Linked DNA regions of Arabidopsis thaliana. The protein of the gene in region 1 purifies or fractionates together with the protein of each later gene. This does not show direct contact. Each region holds a gene or a part of one and is shown on either strand. Other genes may lie near its edges.

Region 1 (9,602 bases):
TTTGCTACTACACCAGCGATGTTGCTTACTCAAACTCGTTCTTATATAGGTCGATGGAGATGGAAAATATGAGAGGATAAGTGGAACAAGCCTTGGCGGAGGCACATTTTTAGGTCTTGGGAAGCTTTTAACAAAATGCAAGAGGTGACTTCTTAGTTAAGTCTATTAATGTAAGTTTCCTCCTTGCCTGAGTAACAACTAATATTTCTTAATTTCAGTTTTGATGAGCTGCTAGAGTTAAGCCACCATGGAAATAACAGAGTAATTGACATGCTTGTGGGGGATATCTACGGTGGAACAGATTATTCAAAGGTAATTGATTGATCCTGGTTTTGCTTAAACATGTCTGAAGACTTTTAGATTAGATTCATATGTTAATATAACCTTTTGTTCATTCTTTTTTGATAGATTGGTCTCTCCTCAACAGCTATCGCTTCCAGCTTTGGGAAAGCGATTTCTGATGGTAAAGAACTTGAAGATTACCAGCCAGAAGATGTGGCAAGGTCCCTTCTAAGAATGATATCAAATAACATCGGTCAGGTCAGTTCCTCTGAACATTTTAATGCCATTTTAAAACATAATTTGAAGCTGATGATATTCTGATCGAATTGTAACGTTTTCTACTCTCCCTCCAGATTGCTTATTTGAATGCTCTCAGATTCGGTCTTAAGCGTATTTTCTTTGGTGGATTTTTCATCCGTGGGCTTGAGTACACCATGGACACAATCTCCGTTGCTGTTCACTTTTGGTAAATCCAAAACCGAAACTACTTAATCAAATCCCTCCATATCTTAAACTCATGTATGTCCACAAAATCTTTATCGAACTTTCTCATTTTTCCTTCTCATTTCAGGTCGAGAGGTGAGGCAAAGGCAATGTTTTTACGACATGAAGGGTTTCTTGGAGCATTAGGCGCTTTCACGAGCTACAATGACCAGAGCCATAACGATTTAAAACCGCATCATCACACTGTGCAAAGAGCAATTCTCAACTGTTCAGGTCATAACTTTCGGCACATCCCAGTAACTTCAAATTTAAACGAAAGCGAGACCATAGAATGTAGCATCAATTTAGTTTAGTTATCACCAGTTGTATTATTATCAATTCAGTGTAGAAATATGTTTAATCAACTGTTTGAGTCAAGAGCTGCTCATTACTAGTTTGTTGAATGTTAGACACATTTATGTAAGATGATTCACGTATTAATATTCATGTATGACCAATGTAACTTGTACTATATATCACACAAAGAATCAAACACACTTATTAAATCTCACTAGAGCTTCTTTAAATCTCGGTTTAGTCCGGTGCATTGCAAGTATTTGTGCATTTCTGTTTAGCCTTTGTTTACTAAGTTTTGTATATTGCTTATGTAACAAGTTTTTATCCATTCAGCAGAAATAACAGAAACTTGACACTTATATGGACATTTTGTTGTTGTTGTTGATTGAAGATCAATGTTTAATCCGGTCAAACCACTTTGATGTAACCCGAAACTGAACCGAAGAATGAACCACATCATTATTTGGTTTTTGATGTACCTAATTCCAGTGGTCGATAAGAAACCAAATTTCAAATAAAAAAACCGAGAAACTCAAAAATCAAAGCTAAGCCGGATTTAACATTGGTTACTCCCGGTACGAAGCAATGTACCACATTCATGGAGTCTTACACGTGTCATCCATACCTCTCTGTCTTCTTCTTCTTCTGTTCTTCATTCCTTTTTCCTACTTCGTCGATTTTCCATTTCAATTTCTTCTTCAGCCGGCGATTAAGCTTCCCAATAAGACAATCTCCGACCGCCGCAACATCACGAAGGATTCTTCACCGTGTGAACTTTACGCAGTCTTTCCTCTTTCGTAGACGCTAAAGAAGTTGAAATTGATCTGATCTCGTTTAGGTAAAAACTTTTTCTTTCTTCATCTATAGAATCAATCGTTCACCTAAATTCTGATTCTTATATATCCAAGATCTTAATTGCAGCAGATCTACCTTCGATTCGATTCTTCTCCTTCCTGATATCGCTTCATTGTTCAAATTCGGCACAAAATGGTACGGATCACCATTTTCTTATCTTTCAATTAGCATTAATCGCATTTCATTTTGTAACTAATGAAATTAGATTAGATCTTCGATGAGATTTTTTTTATTTATTGAGCTTGTTTCACTTTGATTTGGTTCCATGGAGTATTTAACTCTGCGATGCTCATTTTGTTTCCTTAATCCTTGTGATTAAATGCTCTGATCAGGTTTATCACTCGAGTTTTGTGGATGAAGAAGGAGTAACAAAGGCATGTGGTTGTCCATTGCTTCCTCTCAAGAGTCATATAAAAGGTCCTGCACCTGTTTCAGAACAAGGTAATTAATCAAAACATGTGATTTTTTTCAATTGTGCGATCGAAAGCTTTTGTAAATTGTTGGTTTTATATGCAGATAAAACTGATATAGTAGACGAGGCAATCACCTTCTTTCGTGCTAATGTCTTCTTCACAAACTTTGATATCAAAAGTCCTGCTGATAAGCTCCTTATTTACTTGACGTTTTATATAAATGTGGCGTTAAAGAGGCTTGAAGGCTGTAGAACATTGGCTGTTGGAACTAAAGCGATTATCAACTTGGGTTTAGAAGATATTCCTGTTCCTGGAGAAACTGGCTTTCCTTTCCCAGGTCTCTTTTCGCTTCCGCAGTCCCAGGACGAAGCAGGTATATATACATGTCTAAACAACTCTTATTGATTTTTCTTTCAGTTACTTGGTCCTTAGCCTTGTGTTCTGTTTGGCTTCAAATGTCAGAGCTTTTCAGGAACTATCTTAAGCAGGTTCGAGAGGAGACAAGTGGGAGGTTACTGAGTGTAGCATATAGAGCCAACGGGACACCAAATAAATGGTGGCTTGCATTCGCCAAGAGGAAATTCATGAACGTGGTCGTCCTATGATAAAACAGAGAATCACTGGTAAGTATCACTTTAGTTTACTGGATCCAAAATCCCACGTGATCTTAGATCCATCTCAAACAGTTCTACATTTCAAGCTTAAAATGTTTTTCTTTTGATCTGATTTTTTCATAATTTAGCAGCTGGTTATTCTTCCTTGCTTGCTGCCCATTACGAATGAGGGAATCCAAAGCCACTGGAGATCATGAGAATCGCCACCTTTAGCTTCCTCTGCATAGGTGTTAGCCACTGGAACCAGGAAGACGAAAATTTCATCTGAGAGCAGAATGCTCTCTCTCTGTATCTCTTGATATATACATAGAGTGTGCCAATGTATTGTTTCATACAACTCCTGTTGGAATATAAAATTTGTTGATACAAGATCAAAGTTAAATAAGAAGATTCTTTTATTATTACTTTAGATTAACAGAGTTTATCTCCAAGGTCTTAATCAGATATCAGATTGTAACCACACATTCTCACTCTTAGCAATTATACAAAGAAAGGAAATAGCTTTGCATACACATAGTGACATAACTGTGCCTGAAGCTACCTATCAGGCCTTGGTGCATACGTTTCCTTCACAAACCCAACCATCTTTGGACTCGTCGCCACCAACTTTCACAGCCTCATCGCCGTTTTCTTTTGTGTCCTCGTTTAAAGCACACTTGGCGTGAAGATCAAAGTCGCATTCGTCGCAATGGTAAGACCATATTGTCCCTTCTTCCTCACACTTATCGCATGTGTAAACCTGAACACGAGTTAGTTCTAGCTCATGTTCTTCATGGAGAACATGTTTCACCTTCTTAGGCCAATCTTTTGCTATCTCATCGTACTTAGCTTCAATCTCCTTCAAACGTTCCTCAGTAAAAGGGTAAGCATCGGCTCCATGGGCTACGACAAGGTCCCTTGCTTCTTTTGTTACGGTTTGCCCAGTTGGTCCCAGAGCTGCTAGCATTGGGATCCCACCAACCTTAAAGGTTTTTGCCAAGGATGCTTTCCTAGGATCACCAAATGGAAGAGCCAGCCACGGCATTTGCGAATAGTACTCATCGAATGATTCCTGGTCACGGTCACTGGAGATGAAGATCAATTCAAACGCTTCATTCCGCTCCTTTATCTGCTTGTATACTTCAACAAGCTTTGGTGTAAAAGCGCGACAAGGAGGACACCAGTGAGCTGAGAAGTACATAAGAATAGTCTTCCCCACCAGATCCGAAACAAGCACCTAACAAAGAAAGCCAAATTTTTACAGGTTGGTTCAGATCAGCCTTGAAGAACAGTGTTTAGAAAATGAAGAGGGTATCGAGAGCTATACCTTTGCCCCATCTTTTCCGAGAACGTAGTTGAGATCACCTGAGACAAGAAGTGACTCGAGCGTTTGAGCCTCTACCTTTGCCTTTTCTAGCTCCTTGAGTTCTTGAAACTTCTCTGGAGTGAAAGGATACGCAAGAACTCCATAGTCATCAATAGCTTCAGCGACATTCGAGTGACGGGTTTTTCCATCAGGGCCGAGAATGACCAGTGTCGGTAGTGTTGACAGCATGAAATGCCGAGCCAATTTTGATCCACTTTTGTCGTTGAACGGCAATGCTAGCCATGGCTTGGTCTTGAAGTCTTGATTAAAAGACTCCTCATCATCTTCAAGAGATATCAACACAATCTCAAAATCCTCCTTATTCTCCTTCAGCTTCGTATAAAACTCAACAAGCTTTGGAGTAAGCTCTGTGCATTTCCTGTAAGAGGCCACAGAGAAGAGAAGGCCAATGGTTTTTCCCTCAAGCTCTGATACGGGTACCTAATGAATATGCAATTGATCGGTCTCATTAAGTCAACAAAAGAGAAACAGGTCCGTAATAACTAACTAATGCAAGAGTCTTGTATAGATATAATCTTCCTATTGACGAAAAAGAATCTGATCTCACAAGCTATTAATGTGCACCTTGTTTCCGTCAGGCGAAATCACAAAGTCTCGTGAAGGAGTCACCAAGACAGATCTTAAGGTCTGTCCTCTCCGAGCTCTATCTTCATCCTCTTTGATCTCCTTCATTTTCTCTGGTGTGAAAGGATAAGCATCAGCTCCATAGCTTCGTATGACCCCAACACCATTCTCATTCACAAGTTTACCATGATCATCAACCATCACTAGGTTAGGTATTCCCCTAACCTTAAACAACTCATCCAAACGGTCACGGGTTTCCGAATCAGTAAACGGAACAGCGAGCCAGGGCATCTTTCTGAAATAATCTCCAAATGACTCTTCATCCTCATCACCTGACACAAACACAATCTCAAAACCAACTTTCGAAGAGAGCTCGTTGTAGACTTCCACCAGCTGTGGAGTAAACCGCTGACACGGTCCACACCAAGCAGCTGAAAAATACAATCCAATCTTCTTCCCTAACAAGCTGTCAACTTTCACCTAAACATCATAAAAATGCATAAAAAATTAAACTCTACCCAAACAACATAAGCCATGTGAAATAGACACAAGCCAAATCAATAAAGGACCAAGCACTGAATGAATCTTAACACTTGAAAGCAATCGATTAAAGTCATCTATAGCAAATCAATCAACTACACGAAGCTATCTATATTCTGTAAACCAGAAGAGTCGGTTCAAAGAATCGCGAGACAATCACAGGATCGTTATCGAAGATCAGAAGAAGTTGCGATCGAAGACCATAAACTCAAAATCACGTCAAAAACTATTTTACCTGTTCGCCGTCATTACGAACGAGGAAATCCCTCGCCGGAGAAGAAAGAAGCGAGTGAAGATCCTGGGCATCGTCGCCGTTGACTTGCTTCGAGGTTTCGGCCATTGTTTGTACGGAGATCGAATTTGAGAATCGCCAATTACGAGCACACGAAGACTGGTCTGTGTATTCTTTTGAGAGGGCCAAGTAATGCTCAAAGCGTTGTATAAAAGCGTCTCTTTTGAAGTTTTTTTTTCTTCTTAATCCAGAATTAGATTACTTAGCGATTAATTAAAGACCAGAAAATGCTAAAAACAAATGGTTGACCAACCAACACAATTATATTCCGGTTCGTCCATCAAACGAGGTCAAATACAAAACACTAAAAAGTCAGCAGTAGAAATATCTCGATGGGGTATAAATTGGTCAAAATCGAATATTTGGGGTTAATATTAAATATTTACAAAACATTAAGCGCTATCTCGACAATTCACGAGGATCAGTTCCCGGTATTAAACTCGGAAAATCCTTAACAAAACCCTAGCTTTTTGTGCAATTAGCTATTCAGATTGTTTTGTTTTCTGATCTGACTGTTTTTAATCTAATTCTGCTATATATATGGTATGTTCTTTGGGTTATGTCTAAGAAAACAAAAGCTTTATCTTTTTTTTTTGTCTACATTATACTTTCACCAAAAAATAATATATGTCTTATTAATGCGTTTCTTATTTCGTCTAGACTCCATGCGTGATTAGAGGACCACCAACGGTGGTCCCTTAACAAAATTTCTAATGATAAAAAGAATGAAAAATAATTAAAAGGTAAGTGTAAGAAGAGAGAGAGGCCCTAAAATTCTTTATTTAAGGGACAGTCTCGAGAAAATTATATACATGTGTTTTTATTATTGGTCAAATTATACAGAAGCCCTAATAAGATTAAAATATTATTATTTGTATGTTTTTAAGGGATTTTCATAGAGTCCAGCGTTGGGGGTGCTCTTAGTTACCCAATTTGAATGAGCATATGTCCTGTGTACTTGATAGATTCAACCAAATGGTTTGAGATTAAAGGAAGCAATTAAGTATCTAAAACTTTGTTGCTATAGTTTTGTATATTTTACATGTATTGTACACTATAGCAACCTAATTACAATGCATGTGATATATATATAGAAAACTATAGCAACAAACTTTCAACGAAACTTTGACGTTGAATCCAACCCGTAACAACATGGATGAAGTCCAAGATACTTCACTTTTAAGTTTACTCATTGCAATATAGTTTACGAGTAAGAATCAATGAAAGAATATAAAAATTTATAATCAATCCTACATATAGTTGCAACATAGAATTTCAATTTTGTTTTAAGAGATAGAAATTTACTAAAGAACATCCATAAAAAAAAACTAGAAAACATAAAGCCATGTCTAACAAGAAAATCTAAAAAGTCTTACAATAGATTATTTGATAATTAACTGTTGATAGGTAAACTTGATTTAGGAGAGACGACATTATACACATAACAACTTGACACCTTTCAGCATATCTTTGGAATCCTTTTCATTTTCTTGATGATGTTACTGCCCACTTAAAAGCATTTTCGTCAAGCGTGTACACTTCTTCCTAAAATATGTCGCAAGTTTCATTTTACTTGGTGTCGATGGTGCCTTCAACTGAAGAAAGTCGAGAGAGGATAAGACACATTGAGGCACTGGTGAGAGTTTAATCTCCTCCATCTCTGGAACACAGTCAAGTTCCTAGTAACATAAAACTTTTGATAAGTTTTCTTGGGATATGAATCTCAATGTAACTACGTGAAATATAGACAAATAAATGAAACTCACTATGACGAGCGAATCTAGATTCATGCAGCAACTAAGAAAGGCTGGTAAAACTTCCCAAGAAGATTCGACTAACGAAGCATCCAAGCCAAACAAGTTAGAGAATGGAGGCAATGGTCCCACCTTGGAGTAGTCATGGATGGACTGTGTATAGCCAAAAAAAAAGTAAGTCAACACCATATACAAAATTGTACAAGCTTAATGTTATATTTAATCCACCAATCATATGTGTACCTCTAGAGTTCGAGCAGAGATGGTCAGTTCGTGAAATGTGGATAACCCGACGAGAAACTTACGTATCTTAGATATCTCCAATGGATCATCATCCTCAACATCAAACTCAACATCAACGGTTACCTCCGCAAAAGGACCAATTCTATGTATTTTAAGGCTTTCAGGTTTCTTATCACAGATACTCATAAACTCAAGGCTTGGAGAATCGATTTCAACTTTGGGATTGTCACACTCAAAACGCTTAGACTCAAGTCTAAAGCTCTCCAGTGATTGAGAACGAACACATATGACTTCCAAATAATCCTCCGGATGCGGAATCACGGTTAACTCCTCAAGAACCGGACTATGCGATATGAGAGTCTCCAGAACAGAATCACCATCAAACTTGACCCCCTCAAAATACATTTTCTTCACACTAGGTAAAGAAACCGATTTTGATCTTGGATGATCAAAGACAACACAGTAGAGAATCAAATTCACTAAAGTAGCACATGAATAAAGCGAGGGAGGCATCCTAACTAATGCTACATCAACATCCACCATATTCTGAATATTCAGATCACAAACTCCACGCCTAACCACTTTATTTAGCCTCCTCACAAATGGCTCATGCAAGTGCTCATTAGCATCATAAAACATATTGAAGCTCTTCAACTTCAAGCCTAACTCTTCGTGATATTCCATAAAGCTATCTATGAATTCTCCCATGTCGTGTTCACCTTTAAAATCTTGGAAATCCAAATCCAAAACAGAAACAAGCGACCAGAGATTACTCCAACGAGGGGACAAAACGCTAGTACGAACCGATTCCTTGGTAGAGAGATTAGAGAGGATGCGACATAGCAAATGACACGGTAAATCGCTTAACCTATCTTTCCCTGAGACTTCGGTTCTAGCCATGACTTCTCCCGGAAACCCTATATTTCGGACAAAGCTACACTATTAATTTATTATTAATTAATCAAACATAATCCAAAGTATGAAAGAGAGTTCAGAGATTAGGTTAGAGATTACCTAGTAGAGATAGAGAGGAAGAAGAAGAACCTTCAATTTGACGACCAGAGATCTTCTCGCTAGATTTTCTTCCTCTTTGACAGTTTTTATAATAAGTTGAAAAATAAAAAGAGGCTATACGAAACGTGTCGTGAGCGCCCTTTCAAATTTCTTCAATATTTTATTGACCACAAAACGAAACGTTGTGATTTTTTTTTAATTACATTTAATGAACTTTATTGTCAATCGAAATAATGATATGTATTTAATTTACTGTTAATATAAAAGAATACTTGAAATACTCATGATTGATTTTTTTTTTGTTAACTCTTTGTCTTTCAAGAATAAAAGCTCAAATTGTATCCGTTTTTTTTTCTCAACTCTTGTTCAATTCTATCCGTTTCACAATTCACAAAATAATATCGTTTACATTTTAACTAGTTTTCAGATTTTCCTCTTGTCTAAAGCTAAAAGAAATTTTCTATTTAAATCATTATGGTATAATTAGGGGTATATTAAATAAGGGTATATTTGTATGTTTAACTCATTTTTAATGTGTGAAATGTGTCAAAATTACACTTTTTATGAAAGAGAGATACATTGTAAGTTTTAACCAAAACTAGGTAAAATTGCCTGCTAGTCTAGGTAAATCTTATGCTATTTAATTTTATGAATGATCATTTATAATATTTAATTTTATGCTTTCCAATCTTATAAATAATTTTATGTATAATATTTCAAATGACTACATTTTAATATATGTATATATATATATATGTAATGTTTTATATAGAAATGTAAAGTGCATTTAAAAAAATCAAAGCATTAAATGTACATAAATTTCAACAAATCATATATGGTAATAATCAATAGAGATATTTGAAAAAAACTAAATTTGGATATTCA
Region 2 (6,822 bases), on another chromosome or scaffold:
TTCAAGGTACACAATCTTTTTATAAAACTGCCGACATGATGCCATATCGCTCATGATTGCATTTATTTTTTTGCATTAGCTCACAAGAATGTTAAAAATTAACGATAAGAAAATCCATTTAATTAGGGGGTACGAGTACGAAAATAATTAAAACAAATATTAGCGTTTGGTGGTGCATAACTCAGCATAAGTCATAAAATAAATTGTTGTCACGATATGTGAAGAAAATCTCGTTGCGATGAGACGAACGACATAAAGAAAATCTTGCGTATCTGACAAGTGGACTAATCCACTTATTTTCAATGTCAGTCTCAAAATGGGAGTTATTAAAATTAATGTTCGTTCTTTTTATTTTATACACACATTTATTTTATATATATATTTATATTATATACAGTAAAACCTCTATAAATTAATAACATTAAAACCATAATATTTTTAATTTATAGTACTATTAATTTAAATGTCTTTGGGTATTTTAGTTGGCAAAACTCAACTAATTACAGGTAACTTTCTTTTGTGATGTCGACAAAAGAATTCTGAATAATTTTTAAGGGTTTCGATTTTTGCCATTTCACGTAAAACACGTGATACTGGGCTACTGGCATTTACGGCAGAGTAACTGGTGGCAAATATTATTACCAATATACTATAAACAAATAAATAAAAAGAACAAACACTAGTATTAAATTTTGATTGTTTTATAACTCAATTAAGTTTTGATGTCAAAGTCTACTTACCAATCAATTACCTCACTGATTTGTCTCCTTTTCAATCTTTTCGATTGTTTTATGGAAACAGCTTTCTAAAAAAGATTAATTTTCACGTAATCACAAAACAAATGTTCACATTAGCCCAAATCTAATAACCACATTAGGTTGGTCCCAAAAATTTAAAAACAAAAAAAAACTTTTTTAGACAGAGAGACCAACTTCAATACATTTAGTTTCATGTATTTTAAATAAGATTAGTATCTTCGTGTTAATTTCCAAATTCAAGCTTATAGTAAGTTAGTAATAATGTATATAATGACGTGGCAAAGGATAAATGTCTCTTTAAATGCACGTAGCAGCCGGAGGAGTGACCCACCTACCTAGTGTTAAATTCTCCTGCCGGAGTTTGGTCCCCACGCGACCTTCTTCTTCACCGGAGTAATAACGCGCGTGAGCTCCACCGCGTCGGGACAAAACTAATGTCCTCTCAAAAAAGCAAAAAAAAAAAGAGAAAAAAAACCAGAGATGGTGAGCTGTGTGAAAAGGACCCCACCACACCCATGTGCTTCTCCTTCCTGTCTCCACCAGCTCCCTCCTTCTCAATCATTAGCTTCTTCTCTTCTCTTCTCTCACAGAGAGAGTAATCACAAGCCAAGTGAGAAAAAGAAAACACTAAACCCAGATCGAAAACCATGTCTATTAACAACAACAACAACAACAACAACAATAACAACGATGGTCTTATGATCTCATCAAACGGAGCTTTAATCGAACAACAACCATCAGTCGTTGTGAAGAAACCACCGGCGAAAGATCGACATAGCAAAGTCGATGGAAGAGGGAGAAGAATCCGTATGCCGATTATATGTGCTGCTCGTGTTTTTCAGCTAACGAGAGAGCTTGGTCATAAGTCAGATGGCCAAACAATTGAATGGTTACTTCGTCAAGCAGAGCCTTCTATTATAGCTGCAACAGGAACTGGTACAACTCCAGCGAGTTTCTCAACTGCTTCTGTCTCTATCCGTGGAGCCACCAATTCTACTTCTTTAGATCATAAACCCACTTCTTTACTTGGTGGTACGTCACCGTTTATACTTGGGAAACGTGTTAGAGCTGATGAGGATAGTAATAATAGTCATAATCATAGTTCTGTTGGTAAAGATGAGACCTTTACGACAACACCAGCTGGGTTTTGGGCTGTTCCGGCGAGGCCGGATTTTGGACAAGTTTGGAGTTTTGCTGGAGCTCCACAAGAGATGTTTTTACAACAACAACATCATCATCAGCAACCATTGTTTGTTCATCAGCAACAGCAACAACAAGCTGCAATGGGTGAAGCTTCTGCTGCTAGAGTTGGGAATTATCTTCCGGGTCATCTTAATTTGCTTGCTTCTTTATCCGGTGGATCTCCCGGGTCGGATCGAAGAGAGGAAGATCCACGTTAATGGTTTAAGCCCTTTTAGGTTTGAGGGCAAAATTTGGTATATATATTTATTATCTTCTCTTCTCTATTGTTGTCATTGTTTCTCTATGTGTGTGTTTTAGTGTTGTTAGAGATTGATTTGGTTTCAGAATCTCTGCAAGTGATTTGAGAGTTTTCGTTAGCTTTAAGTAAGTTAAAGACGGTTGTTTTTGATTAGGGTTAAATTAGGGTTTAAGAATCTGTTGTTTTTTTGGAGGGAGATCGATTTCTTATCGGATCCAAGATTACTTTTAGGAAAAAAGGGAAAATTTCAGAAACCACGGTGGTTTCTTTTCCTCTTTTTTTTTTTGTGTCTGTTTTTTTTTTCCGGTGAAACAGAGCCGTCGATTAAAATTTCAGATATATATTTAAATGTTTTAATATGGTTTGTTGTTGTTGTTGCTAATTGTGTAATGTGTTACAACAATTGTGGTGAAGCATTTGCGTAAGCTGTTAACCACGTTTATTTCTAATAAATGTTTCGAATTCATATTGTTCCTTCCTTCTCTGCATTTATTGATACACAAAAAGCTTTATGTGATAGTGATTGTTTCGTTGAAATCGAACCGGATGATGGATTTTTGAACAGAATCATAATAATCTCTTATTTTTTTAGTGGATATATGTATGAATTGTGGATTTTGAGATGCTATTTATTTTTGGCGTTTCGCGTCTTGATTTAATGCAAGAACTGAACAGAGGATTTAGTAAGAAAAAGAGACAAACCAGTTGTGTCTGAATTCTTCAATTTTGTTGCCTTTTTGTTTCATATGAATCTTTGTACTGTGCTTTTGGAAGTTTGGTTTGTCACGTTAGTCAGAGAAATATTAAATTTAAGTACTGTTAAAACTATATGGCGACATGATATCTTTAAATTAATTGTCTATATTTTTGTTCTAGAAACTGTTACAATTTGAAAGATTAAAGGTGTTAGAATTGTCTCTTCTCTTGTTTGAGATTAGCTATCTAAAAAAATGTGGGTGATACACTCGAACATGAGTTCAAATGGTTGTTTTAATTTTGGCAAAAACCATTTTCACTGTTGTAATAATTTGGACTATCAAAAAAGTAAATTTTATTTTAACCCCTGATATAGTATAATTTCTTATGCAAAGTATATTTAAGGTACAAATAGCATAGATTCAATGATTTCGTTTGTGGTTTTCACAGCTATATATCTGCTGAGTAATGTATTTAACCAATAATTTATTTATCACGATAATACCTGATGAATAAATGTCAAAGTGATTAGATAGGCTTCTTTAGACTATTTAGGTCACACTAACCAATCAAAAGAATCAAACAAATTTTCTCATTAAAATAAGAATCCATTAATGGAAAGATCTTAACAAAAAGTTGGTGTTTTTTCTTTCTTAATTAGGTCTTAGTAATTAACACTTAGCTATATAATGTAATGCAAATAATTATAGGTGGGGGATCTTTGTAATCAACTCGTATCAATAAAACATCCGTACCTTTTATTGTCGAATCATCTAAATGACCCCAACACCAATAATTGATATGGTCCCAATTATTTTCTACCGAAAAATAATTTCTATAGGCTGGCAAATAATTCATATACGAGTCTTTATTTTTCATATACATATTTCGCATTTTGGACCGACACATGTAAATAAATAAATAGCCTCTCATTCACCTCACTCTACTAGCTCTGTGCCGTGTTAAATTAAATGTACTGTCAAATACTTTATGGTTCAGAAAAAATTGATGACTAAACATTATCATAGAGTATCAAAATTTGATTTTCAAAACTGACTATAAAAACAATTTTATAGCAAAAATAAAATAAATTTTAGTTGTTTCTTTTAAACGTTAAAGCATGTTCATTTTTTCCTAGTTGCAGATTCTACAGTGATCAATTTGGGATCTATATTAATTCTATATAAGACCCAAAACATGTAAGAATATTAATTTTATGTGTTATTTGTTTAGTTACAAATGTAAAAATACGCAACTAATTAACTATTTCATTTGGTTACATTTTTTTATAAGTATGACAAAATATAAGCAAATTAAGTATTGTTTGAATTATAAGCAAATATTTTTTTGTTTCAAATTTTTTCAAAATATAGGTAAACTATTAAAAATTGTTTTTTGATTCAATTTTGTTTTAATTTTTATTTGAATCAAAGCATACACTATTTTCTTCTTTAATCATTTAAGGCCTCGAAAATGTTAGAAACAGCTTAAATGGGCCAATATGGGCCTTATGACTTCATCTCTAACGCTGAAGTCTGAACTCCGCTTAACGGGCCATCACACACTTCGTCTCTAACCTTTTGAAGAAAGAGTTTGAGCGCATCGCAAACTCGAAGGCGCGACTGTGAGAGAGAAGAATGGCGTCGTCATCATCGAGAGGAGAGATGGAGAAGATGGGAATCGATCAGCTAAAAGCTTTGAAGGAGCAAGCAGATCTGGAAGTGAATCTTCTTCAAGATAGTCTCAACAACATCCGTACAGCTACCGTTCGTCTCGATGCCGCCGCCGCAGCTCTCAACGATCTCTCTCTTCGACCTCAAGGTTTTGTTTATTTCACCTCTCCTTCTTCAATTTCAGCGATGGATGATTATAAAACAATTTGAAAATTGTAGGTAAGAAGATGCTTGTACCACTGACTGCTTCTCTATACGTGCCTGGGACACTTGATGAAGCTGATAAGGTTTTAGTTGATATTGGCACTGGTTACTTCATTGAGGTAATAGAAAACTTCAATAAGTAATTGGATTATTATGACTTTGTTCTTGTGTAGCTCAAGTGTTTTGCTGCATTTTTATGTAGAAAACAATGGATGATGGAAAAGATTATTGTCAGAGGAAGATCAACTTGCTCAAATCCAACTTTGATCAACTTTTTGAGGTAATATGTATTCGCAATTAGGATCATTTCACTATCTTAGCAACTTTTAAAGGCCTGATTTGGTTTTTAGATAGATTCTGAGTGAAAGGGAATATGTATTCGAATGCCAGTGAGTATGCCTTAGAACTGTACTTTTAGGTATTGAAGGCCTACACTTTTCCTTCATACGGCTTATTGAATATGCCTTAGAACTGTCCTTTTACTGAAGGATAACACATTTCTCATAACATTTACGAAAATTGTGAATGAGCAAAGTGGATAAGATTTTTTGAATTGAATGGAGTCTGATTCTGTTACTAGGGGTGAATCTTTGTGGACTTCTTTCACTGACTTGATCCATTGTATAAAAATGTTTGAGGCCTTAAAGTTTTATGGAATGCAAGTACGTAGTCAGAAAGCCCTTTGGTTGATCCTTTCCTGCATTGTCAAACACTCCCTAGTCCCTAGAGCCATACATGATACACTAAGTAGAGGTCTGAGTATTGTTTTCGTATAAAGCAAAATTCAATGCTATGATCTCACGTTTCCTTTCCATTTGCTTCAATAGTTATTGAAATCAAGTGCATCATTGCCAAATTGTTTCAATACTCTTTTATTTTGAAAACCCTATTGTTACTGCTGTTTATCTCACCTGAGATTTTAGTTATAAACTTCAAAAATGTTCATTCAATGCAGGTCGCAGCGAAAAAGAAAAGCGTGGCAGATGAAGCTGGAATGGTCTTGCAGGCCAAAGTTAAACAGTTAACAGCTGCAACCACGTCGTGAAAATTATTCCTTCTCTAGTGCTTTTTGCTATTGAGACTATTTTGAGATTGCAAATGATTTTGTCTGATCAGTTATGTTTTGACTCTTTTGATCTCAATCGGCTTGTGTTTAGTGTGCTAGAAGAATTTGTGCTGTAATTTTAAGTAATCAGTAGTGACTATGAGAAAGAAAAGACGTGTTAACTAGTTATTTCTCATAAAACGTGAGAAAAGAGACAAAAGCGATGATGTTATTGGAGGCAAAAACGATGATGTTATTGTTGGGGGTAGAAAGAGACAACTGAATCAATGAACTTTAAATACAACTTGTTTTGTTGTTTTAAGAAAAGGGATCTTTCCGCAGCGTATTGCTCTTTGAGTTTTATCATCTGTGATCAGCACCAATTGCTTCATGGATCGACTTGAAGCCATCCCTTTCTAAGCATTTCACCAGTTCCTCCTATTGCAACAACAAGACATGAATATTAGTATCAATCTGACCTCAAAATACAGCATATGTATGTTTTTGTGTTCTTTATGGGGAAGGAGATACCTTTATTTGTGGGATGAGGGCAGGTCCTCCATAGGCAAATCCCGTGTACAGCTGAACAAGAGTAGCTCCAGCTCTTATTTTCTTGTAAGCATCCTCACCACTAAAAACACAAAAGATTCACCTTAAATCATTTTCTTGTGTTTCTTTTGTTCTTACAACTAAAGCATCAGAGGTATGTTCGACGTTTACCTACTAACCCCGCCACAGCCTATCAATGGAATCTTTCCCTAAGGAAGAGAACATGAAAATATCCAAAAACCCATCAGAAAAGGTTTTAGTTCATTGGTCGATTAGTGGATCATCTTTTTTTTAGGATAAGAACTTACTCGTGTCAAAGTGTACATATCTCTCAACATGTTGGTGGAGAGAGCAAAGAGCGGTTTCCCGCTCAAACCACCTGTTTCTGTTGCCACGGGGTTGTTGCTTACAGCATCAGGCCTTGAGACTGTTGTATTTGATATGATCTATAGGACC

The links.
Region 2: the proteins of AT1G60420 (region 1) and PFD5 fractionate together in Arabidopsis thaliana (co-fractionation; one large-scale study listed by BioGRID). This does not show direct contact.

Annotation. Positions count from the first base shown.
Region 1 is NC_003070.9:22,258,130-22,267,731, reverse strand, and holds AT1G60420 (DC1 domain-containing protein), read right to left. Parts: upstream 5,979-9,602; 5' UTR 5,755-5,978; coding exon 5,650-5,754; intron 5,355-5,649; coding exon 4,875-5,354; intron 4,731-4,874; coding exon 4,251-4,730; intron 4,161-4,250; coding exon 3,489-4,160; 3' UTR 3,324-3,488; downstream 1-3,323. Other genes in the region: PANK1 (pantothenate kinase 1), read left to right, coding at 50-144, 219-312, 409-540, 636-748, 854-1,079; ARPC3 (actin-related protein C3), read left to right, coding at 2,050-2,052, 2,250-2,358, 2,434-2,703, 2,793-2,935; AT1G60410 (F-box family protein), read right to left, coding at 7,206-7,385, 7,473-7,613, 7,704-8,603. UniProt on the Arabidopsis thaliana protein: Probable thiol-disulfide oxidoreductase required for pollen tube growth and pollen function in the pistil. Seems not to be required for in vitro pollen tube growth. May be involved in the generation of lipid signaling molecules in pistil.
Region 2 is NC_003076.8:7,841,612-7,848,433, forward strand, and holds PFD5 (prefoldin 5), read left to right. Parts: upstream 1-4,469; 5' UTR 4,470-4,532; coding exon 4,533-4,716; intron 4,717-4,787; coding exon 4,788-4,891; intron 4,892-4,974; coding exon 4,975-5,052; intron 5,053-5,727; coding exon 5,728-5,817; 3' UTR 5,818-6,032; downstream 6,033-6,822. Other genes in the region: AT5G23280 (TCP family transcription factor), read left to right, coding at 1,406-2,158; PYRD (pyrimidine d), read right to left, coding at 6,181-6,255, 6,349-6,448, 6,538-6,575, 6,675-6,812. UniProt on the Arabidopsis thaliana protein: Binds specifically to cytosolic chaperonin (c-CPN) and transfers target proteins to it. Binds to nascent polypeptide chain and promotes folding in an environment in which there are many competing pathways for nonnative proteins.